Linked DNA regions of Schizosaccharomyces pombe. The protein of the gene in region 1 interacts with the protein of each later gene in a pairwise test. Each region holds a gene or a part of one and is shown in the gene's direction. Other genes may lie near its edges.

Region 1 (4,133 bases):
CTTTTGAAGGAAAATGATTTTTTTTATATTTAGAGCACTGGGACGGAATCTTCCTTTTTTTTACAATATTTCTCGGTGACTGACTTTTTTTAAAGGAATGGGACCTGGCTCTTTGTCTATGACTAGATCGTTTGTAGAGACTCTAAACGATAAAGAGGGTTATAGGCTTCCCTTGGATGAGCATTTAATTGGCAGTTCACGGACACGTTCCAGTTCGAGTTTGATTACGGATAGTGCAGCCGGAGCAACCGCATTTTCTTGTGCTAATAAAACCTACAACGGAGCTGTTGGTGTTTTGGATAATGAAAAACCTTGTGGAACTATCTTAGAGGCTGCTAAAGAAGCCGGTTACTTAACCGGAATTGTTGTCACAAGCAGAGTTACCGACGCTACACCTGCCTCTTTCTCTGCTCATGCCGCGAATCGATTCATGCAAGATTTAATTGCTGAGTACCAAGTCGGGATGGGACCTTTGGGAAGGAGTGTTGACTTATTGTTCGGTGGTGGACTTTGTTCATTCTTACCTAAATCTACTTATCGATCATGTAGATCCGATAACTTGGATCTTTTGAAATATGCTAGGAAAAAAGAAGGTTTCCAAATTTTGCTTAATAGAACTGACTTTGATGAGCTATCAAACGCTCAATTGCCTTTGCTTGGTTTGTTTTCTGATTATCATCTCAGTTATGATATTGATTATCAGCCTGAAGTGCAACCTAAGCTTTCTGAAATGGTAGAGACGGCTTTGGATGTTTTGCTCAACGCCACTAATGAAGATACATCTAAAGGATTTTTTTTGCTCATAGAAGGGAGTAGAATTGACATGGCCTCTCACAACAATGACCCTATCGCTCATGTTTACGAAGTTATGGAATACAACAGGGCCTTTGAAATAGCAAGTGCATTTGTAGAAAAGAATGGAGGATCTTTAATCTCTACATCGGATCATGAAACTGGTGGTTTGACTGTTGGTCGCCAGGTCTCCAAAAAATATCCAGAGTATTTATGGAAGCCGCAAGTCCTATCTCTTGCTCTCCATTCTATTGAATATCTCGCTTCAGCTATCGTGAACCATAACCAAAATACGTTGCTTCCTTATATTGAACAGTTTGTTTTACCCGCAATTGGCATTCCTGACCCTAATCCAAAGCAGATTCATGACATATACGTGGCCCGGCATAATATATTTAATCTTATAAACGTGCTTAGTGATATTGTTAGTGTAGAAGCACAAATTGGCTGGACCACTCACGGCCATACTGCTGTCGATGTAAACGTTTATGGAGTAGGAGAGGTCACTGAACATCTTCGAGGAAATATGGAGAACATTGAAATTGGACAGTTTATGGAGATATACTTAAATGTTTCACTAAGCGATGTAACTGAAAAGCTCAAAGATGCTCCCATACATGGTGCCCCAGATCGACCTAGTTTAGTGGAAACTTCATTTTCCGATCGTCTTGTAGGTTTCGGTGCTGATTTGTTTTAAAGCCTTTTAATCAAGATTGCCATAAATATATAATTTAGAATACTCTCATATATGCTCAGCTTATTTAAATCGCTTAATTATGGCATTCAAATTCTTTTTAAGTTAAACCTATTTTACTTCTTATCTTTTACTTTATTTAATTTCCACTGTGGTTGAGATATCCAACAATTGCGATTTAAGAGCAAACGAATATTACAATTATACATACAACTTGTCGCAATAAAGATAGTTAACATATCCATAACGAAAATATTATAATAATATTATAATAACAAACACGTTAATATATCAAATATCACAAACATATCGGGATATCATCCATATCATCCACGACAGCCGCGATTACCTCCCTTACAACGATTTTTTCGTAAACTTGAGAGAATGCCTCCATTGAGGCGTCAAGCGTTGACTTTAGCTGAAAAAAAAGCAATTAGAAAACATTATTTTGAGTCAGCAACTAAACCTTCGCAACAAGAGCTTATTAGTTGGTTCGAGGAGCACTTTCATAAAAAGCTAGCACAATCTACCGTTTCGTCAATTCTATCATCAAAGAACGAATTTTTAGATAATCTAGACGCAGAAAACTCTCAAATAAGAAGAAACCGCCAAGGAAAATATCCTATCTTAGAAAACGCCCTTATTGACTGGCAAACGAGGTTGCAAAAACAAGACGGAGCAATTACTGGAAACGCCATCAAAAAAAGCGCCGCAGAATTGTGGAGACGTATACCGGAGTACTCTGAGCTTCCGATTCCAGAATTTAGTAACGGTTGGTTAGAGAAGTTCAAAAAGCGTTGTTTAAAACACGGCCTTAAGTTACAGGGTGAATCTACTTCAGTAAATCAAGGAACGTATGAGGAAAACATGGTTCAAATACAGGAATTAATAAGTCTTTTTGATCCAAAAGACATCTTTAATATGGATGAGACGGGGCTATGCTGGAAACTTATTCCCAATCAATCTCCTGCGAGTGAACGAGTAAAAGGAATTACGAGAGATAAGGCTCGTGTCACCGTCACTATTTGTTGTAATGCTACAGGTTCTGAAAAGGCCCCTCTTTGGGTGATTGGATATGCTAAAAGTCCAAGGGCCTTTCGGCAAGCAAATGCTCATCCTGATTCCATGGATTTTCATTGGCGATATAATGGAACCGCTAGGATGACCACTTCCATTATGGAAGAATGGCTTCGTTGGTTTGACGATTTGATGAAGGGTAGGAAAGTTCTACTTATACTGGATAAGTTTGTCGCTCATGAATGCGCTTTGGAAAATATTCGCAATTCCGAGCGAAAGTTGGTAAACACGACTGTTGTTTTCCTTCCTGTAAATTCTACAGAAATTTACCATCCTTGTGGCCAAGAGATAGTCTACGCTTTTAAATCATACTACAGAAAATACTGGCTTAATTACATGCTTGAGGAGATTCGATTGGGAAAGAACCCCAGTAAGACAATGAATGTACTAAAAGCAGTTAGATGGATGATTCGTTCTTGGAACGTTGACTTTGAACCATCTATAATATACAATTGTTTCCTTCGTTCTGGGCTTTTTCAAAATCAGCAACCACTGACCGGTCCTTCTCCAGAAACCATTAGAATCGCGGTGAATTTGCAAGAATTGATAGGAAAATACCTTGGTGATAAGGATATTTTCCAAATCGAAAATTTTATTAACCCTATTGAAGAAAATTCTGCTGACACTAATGACGATATCGTTAACCAAGTTGCTGCTCAATTTCTTGATGAACGAGAGTTTGAAACCGATGAAGAAGAGGAAGAGTCACAGTATTTGTTATCAACAAAGGATGCGATAAATGCCATCAATACTTTACTAAACTTTCAAGAGCAATCGGAAGATGGAAATGTTTTGTTTACTCGAACATTACTTCAGTTTCAAAAGGTTTTAGAAAGCAGATCGATTGTGTAAAGGTTGTGGGAATTGGAAAATTTGTTTCTAACGAAAATGTACACATTTTCTATACTTTTAAATAATTTTTATAGAATATAAGAAAGATAAATAATTACAGTGAATTCTTAAAGGTTAACTACTAGACGTACTATTTCAATTAATGTGAGATTCGCGCTAAAAGCGTTTATAAACTCAATAAGATATATTGATAAAATAATAAAGTGAAGAATCAATTGTTTAAATTACGAAATTGAATTGGGACAAATTTTTTGTTTTGCGAAAAATAAGCATAGCGCAATGCATTAATCAACACAGTATGACTGTCTGTACTTGTCAACTCCAAACGCCATTATTCAGCATTGCAATTGAAATTGGACGTTGTGAGAAACAATTGAATGGATTTTTTTGAAGATAATAATCCATTCTCTGGCTCTGACAACAGAAGCGCCTCTTCTGCTGTCAATGTAGAGCCAAAAGTTGAGCCATCACAGCACCAGGGCTCTTCATCTGTCAAAGAGAATGCGATTAGCCAACCGAATGAGAGTTTTCAAAGTAGAAACATGTTTTTTCAAAAGGACGTAGATAGTGTTGTTGATTCAGCCCTCGATCCAAACGGAATTGTAATTACTGGAGCTATGAAGGCTGAGAGTGGATCACACATAGTATATATAATCAAACTTCAAGTAAGTTAAGGAAATTGGTTGATAATGTATTAAGTCGAACTATTCATTGTAGA
Region 2 (3,974 bases), 440 kb from region 1:
TGCGGATACACCTCGTTCAAATCGTTCAAATCCGTCTTCAGTGCAATGCTTACAGACAAATTGATAATTTGTACTAAATCCCATCATCGACGTACAAGGAGGACTTAAACACGAGAGATGAAACATATTTAAACAAACGCTACACTGAAGATCAGGGAATCTTAAATTTCTATCTTTTCCACAATAGCAATAGGTGTTCTGTTCGTTCAAGGTATGAGGTTCATTCCAATTTAGAGAAGATGCTTTACTAGGAGAGGAACCGGTTTTATTCCCCTTTAAGGAAACTCCATAATCATTGGATCCATGAGCCAGCATCTTCGAAAAGTGTCTTGTCTCAAGACTGTGCTTATAAAAAACGCGTCCAAAAGCTTCTTCACAAGCTTAGCAATATGAACAAATTCTAAAAAAAAACTTTAAATAACTGCAAAGCTTTATGTAGTACAGTTTAAAAAAAATAAAAAGGACAAAATCACATCTGCTATATACAGACAAAATTCACGAGAAGGGGTATGTAAATTAATTCTTGGGTTGAAATTTGTTTATCTAATAATCCTCGAATAATTAAGGTTCCACTTAAGAAGAATTAATTAACTCTAAAGGATTTCACAAGTACATAGGTTCATTTGCGAATATTCATCGAACACGACTCAGTCACTAGTATTCACCTACAAACGTGTAGTTCAGATTAGATACAAACCTCCTCAGATCACTTGCTTATGTACAGAAAAAAATACACTCACAGGGAGGTAGGAATTTAATTTACTCAATATGGGTTAATAATGGACTTAGTAATTTCGCATTAATTATGGCGTTGAAATTTCTTTACGTTTCGGTAAGTTTTTTTACGAACTCAATAAACGCGTTGCAAAAAGGTAAACAATAAAGGCGATTTGGAAGAACTGAGACTTTATCAGACCAACTTTGAATTATTGTAAGAATCCTAAAAGTTTTATAATGCAGATAATATTTACTGAAAATGAGGGAGCATAGTGAAGCACAACACTCAACTATTCGTCTGTAAAGTGTGATCACTACAATTAGTAGCCTTCTGATACTAATGTAGACCTTAAAAGTAATTTCGGAAAGTTTATACTTATTAGCTTCTAACAGATTTCGATTTAATACAAACTGAGCACAAAAGATACAGCATGAAGCCATTACTCTCAAGCTGAAGAAATATGTCCTTTATTTTCCAAGATTCAGTCTGCGTAAATCTAAAAAATTGAGTTCTTAATATCAGATTATACGCTTTAATTTAATATATATTTATATATATAATAAAAGCTGTCAACTATGCGATTACTAGGAAAAATAGCGAACAAAAAGTAGCTTGAGTTCCCATGATCTTTGAAAACTTAGAGATTTGCTGATGTGTTAAACATACTGTCAAACTTTGATAATATGGCAATCATTCAATAGCTCACAACTGAAATGCGGAATGTTGGTTAAGATGTAATTTATTTTCATTTATTCAATTAGTATTATCAACTTTAATGAAGACCATTATATCATCCCACAGTCCTATTCTTTAATATTTAAAGAGCTATATTGAACAGTAATAGCTAACATAACATAGTATAGCATAAAAAACTGCATATGGAAGATACTTCCCATGGAGTTCAGTAGTTACAAAAGGTGAAAGGCTAAATAGCGTGCTATTTTGTGAGGCGCTAGGTAAAACGAAATGCACGGTTTTACGTGGGATTTAAAGTACGCTAATTAGGTAAGTTTTATAATTGCAATTTGTACCTACAAAAAACCAAAGTGTTTGGAGCGGCGGAATTAAAAAGAAAATATATTATTGATAATGCCCAAGGCTCCAAAAACTAAACTGCATCATGCTCCTCTTTATAAGGACATTGCAGAATCTTCAGAAAGTGGTGTCTTGAGACAGAAACCTAGCAAACAGAAAAAGTCGAAAGAAAGCAACACCGGAAACGGCTTCTTGGATGCCAAGACTTCTAAAAAAATTTTACAATTAGCAAGGGAACAAAAAGAGGAGTTGGATGAAGAAGAAAATGGAAAACCTTCACAGATCAGTGCTTTTATTAGTAATGGACATCAAAAAGACACTTTAGAAAATCCGGCAATTGAATCAAGCTATGAAGAATCAGAGCATGCTAGAAATGTATCCGATAGTGAAAGCATTACTTCTCAAGAAGAAGAAGAGTATGAGGAGCTTGAGATAGATGATGCTGACCGAGATTTATTCGATCGATTCCTCCCAACCGTGTCAGGCGAGGAAGGAGATCTAACAGAGGAAAAAACCACCTCACTATCCGATTTGATCATGCAAAAAATCAACGAGGCTGAAGCTCGCGCTCGTGGTGAATATATCCCTTCTGCAGAAGAGGAGGAAAATGCCTTACCTCCCTTGCCTCCCAAGGTAATAGAGGTCTATTCAAAGGTTGGGGTTTTACTTAGTAAATACCGCTCAGGAAAAATTCCTAAAGCTTTCAAAATTATCCCTACGTTGTCTAATTGGGAAGACATACTTTATCTCACTCGACCTGACATGTGGACACCTCATGCTTGTTATGAAGCTACTCGTATTTTTATTTCCAACTTAAAACCTGTACAAGCTCAACACTTCCTCACAGTCATTATTTTGGAAAGAGTTCGTGATGACATTCGTGAAAATAAAAAATTAAATTACCATTTATATATGGCTTTGAAAAAGGCATTATACAAACCGTCTTCTTGGTTTAAGGGTTTCTTGTTTCCTCTAGTTCAAGTATGTTCATCGATTTCTTTACTTAATTATTAACCTCTTATAGGAGAATTGCACTTTGCGCGAAGCCGCAATCATCGGTAGTATCCTTCAAAAAGTTTCTGTGCCGGTTCTGCATTCTGCAGCCGCGTTATTACGTTTAACTGAGTTTGACTTGAGTGGTGCTACTTCCGTATTTATTAGGATATTACTCGACAAAAAATATGCTCTACCGTATAAGGTGCTTGATTCTTTGGTTTTTTATTTTATGCGATGGAAATCATTGGAACGTCCACTTGCTGTATTAGAACATCAATCGATGTTGGTCTTTGCTCAACGGTACAAATTTGATATTACACCCGAACAAAAGGATGCACTCTTAGAAGTTGTTCGCCTGAAAGGACATTATTCTATTGGTCCAGAAATTAGACGTGAGCTGCTTAACAGTGCTAGTCGTGGTGAAGAAATTCCTGTGGAAATGGAATATTAATTGAATGGTTTTGGTTTTCTTGGGTTCACTTGGCATTTGTTTCTTTTGTAAAAAAAATTGAATAAAAAGACTTCGGATTAGCCGCTGTTTTTCAATGTTGGGAATATTTTTACTTAAATTGTGGGTTTTATGTTCACCAATTAATAGGATTATTGAGGTCTATAGATTTGTTAATTAATTTTTATTAAACAGACTTAAATATAATAAGGAAATTGGCTTAAAGCCTTCTATTTTTCTACAAAAGCTTCATTAAATCATCAATACAATTTTATGTTCGTAAATTAATGGGTATCCATCACAAACAACCATGACTTTTACATTTCTGTTGCGGCAAGTTGGTGGAATATCCATTGAAATCCGAAGGGATAAACGAATTGAATCATCGTTTCTTCGCCCAGCAAATGAGGCCCGACGTATCGCGAACAGTTCTTGAGTTTCTGAATCTATGATGAGAACGAAAAATCCCTCACTTTGAGGTTTAGGGAACAACGGCGCAAAAATGTAAAAATCGGGGTTGAGCGGCTGATTGAGGCGTCGTAGATAAAGGAGTAGCTTATCTGAAGACGATTGAGAAACTTCAATGTTCATTTTAGGATACGAAATTAAACTATTGACCAGACTTTCTATATCAAAAACGTTAGGGTCATTACATAGCATTTGATATAACTCATCAGTTTTATTTCCTGCAAATTTGTTGAGATAATCTCTTGCTTCCTTTTCACTAGACGCATTAAGTCCAGGTAATGAAGCTCTGTAAATCTCACTCGGATAGCA

The links.
Region 2: the proteins of cbh2 (region 1) and enp1 interact in a two-hybrid assay, tested with the Schizosaccharomyces pombe proteins (one large-scale study listed by BioGRID).

What each region holds. Positions count from the first base shown.
Region 1 is NC_003423.3:4,180,148-4,184,280, reverse strand, and holds cbh2 (CENP-B protein 2), read left to right. Parts: upstream 1-1,842; 5' UTR 1,843-1,870; coding exon 1,871-3,415; 3' UTR 3,416-3,544; downstream 3,545-4,133. Other genes in the region: pho8 (alkaline phosphatase), read left to right, coding at 96-1,489; sorting nexin Snx41, read left to right, coding at 3,793-4,080. UniProt on the Schizosaccharomyces pombe protein: Binds to the central core and core-associated repeat regions of centromeric heterochromatin.
Region 2 is NC_003423.3:3,740,619-3,744,592, forward strand, and holds enp1 (bystin family U3 and U14 snoRNA associated protein), read left to right. Parts: upstream 1-1,751; 5' UTR 1,752-1,807; coding exon 1,808-2,734; intron 2,735-2,777; coding exon 2,778-3,200; 3' UTR 3,201-3,449; downstream 3,450-3,974. Other genes in the region: ash2 (Set1C complex and Lid2 complex subunit Ash2-trithorax family), read right to left, coding at 1-315; SPOM_SPBC13G1.15C (uncharacterized protein), read right to left, coding at 823-1,158; rqt2 (ATP-dependent RNA helicase), read right to left, coding at 3,450-3,974.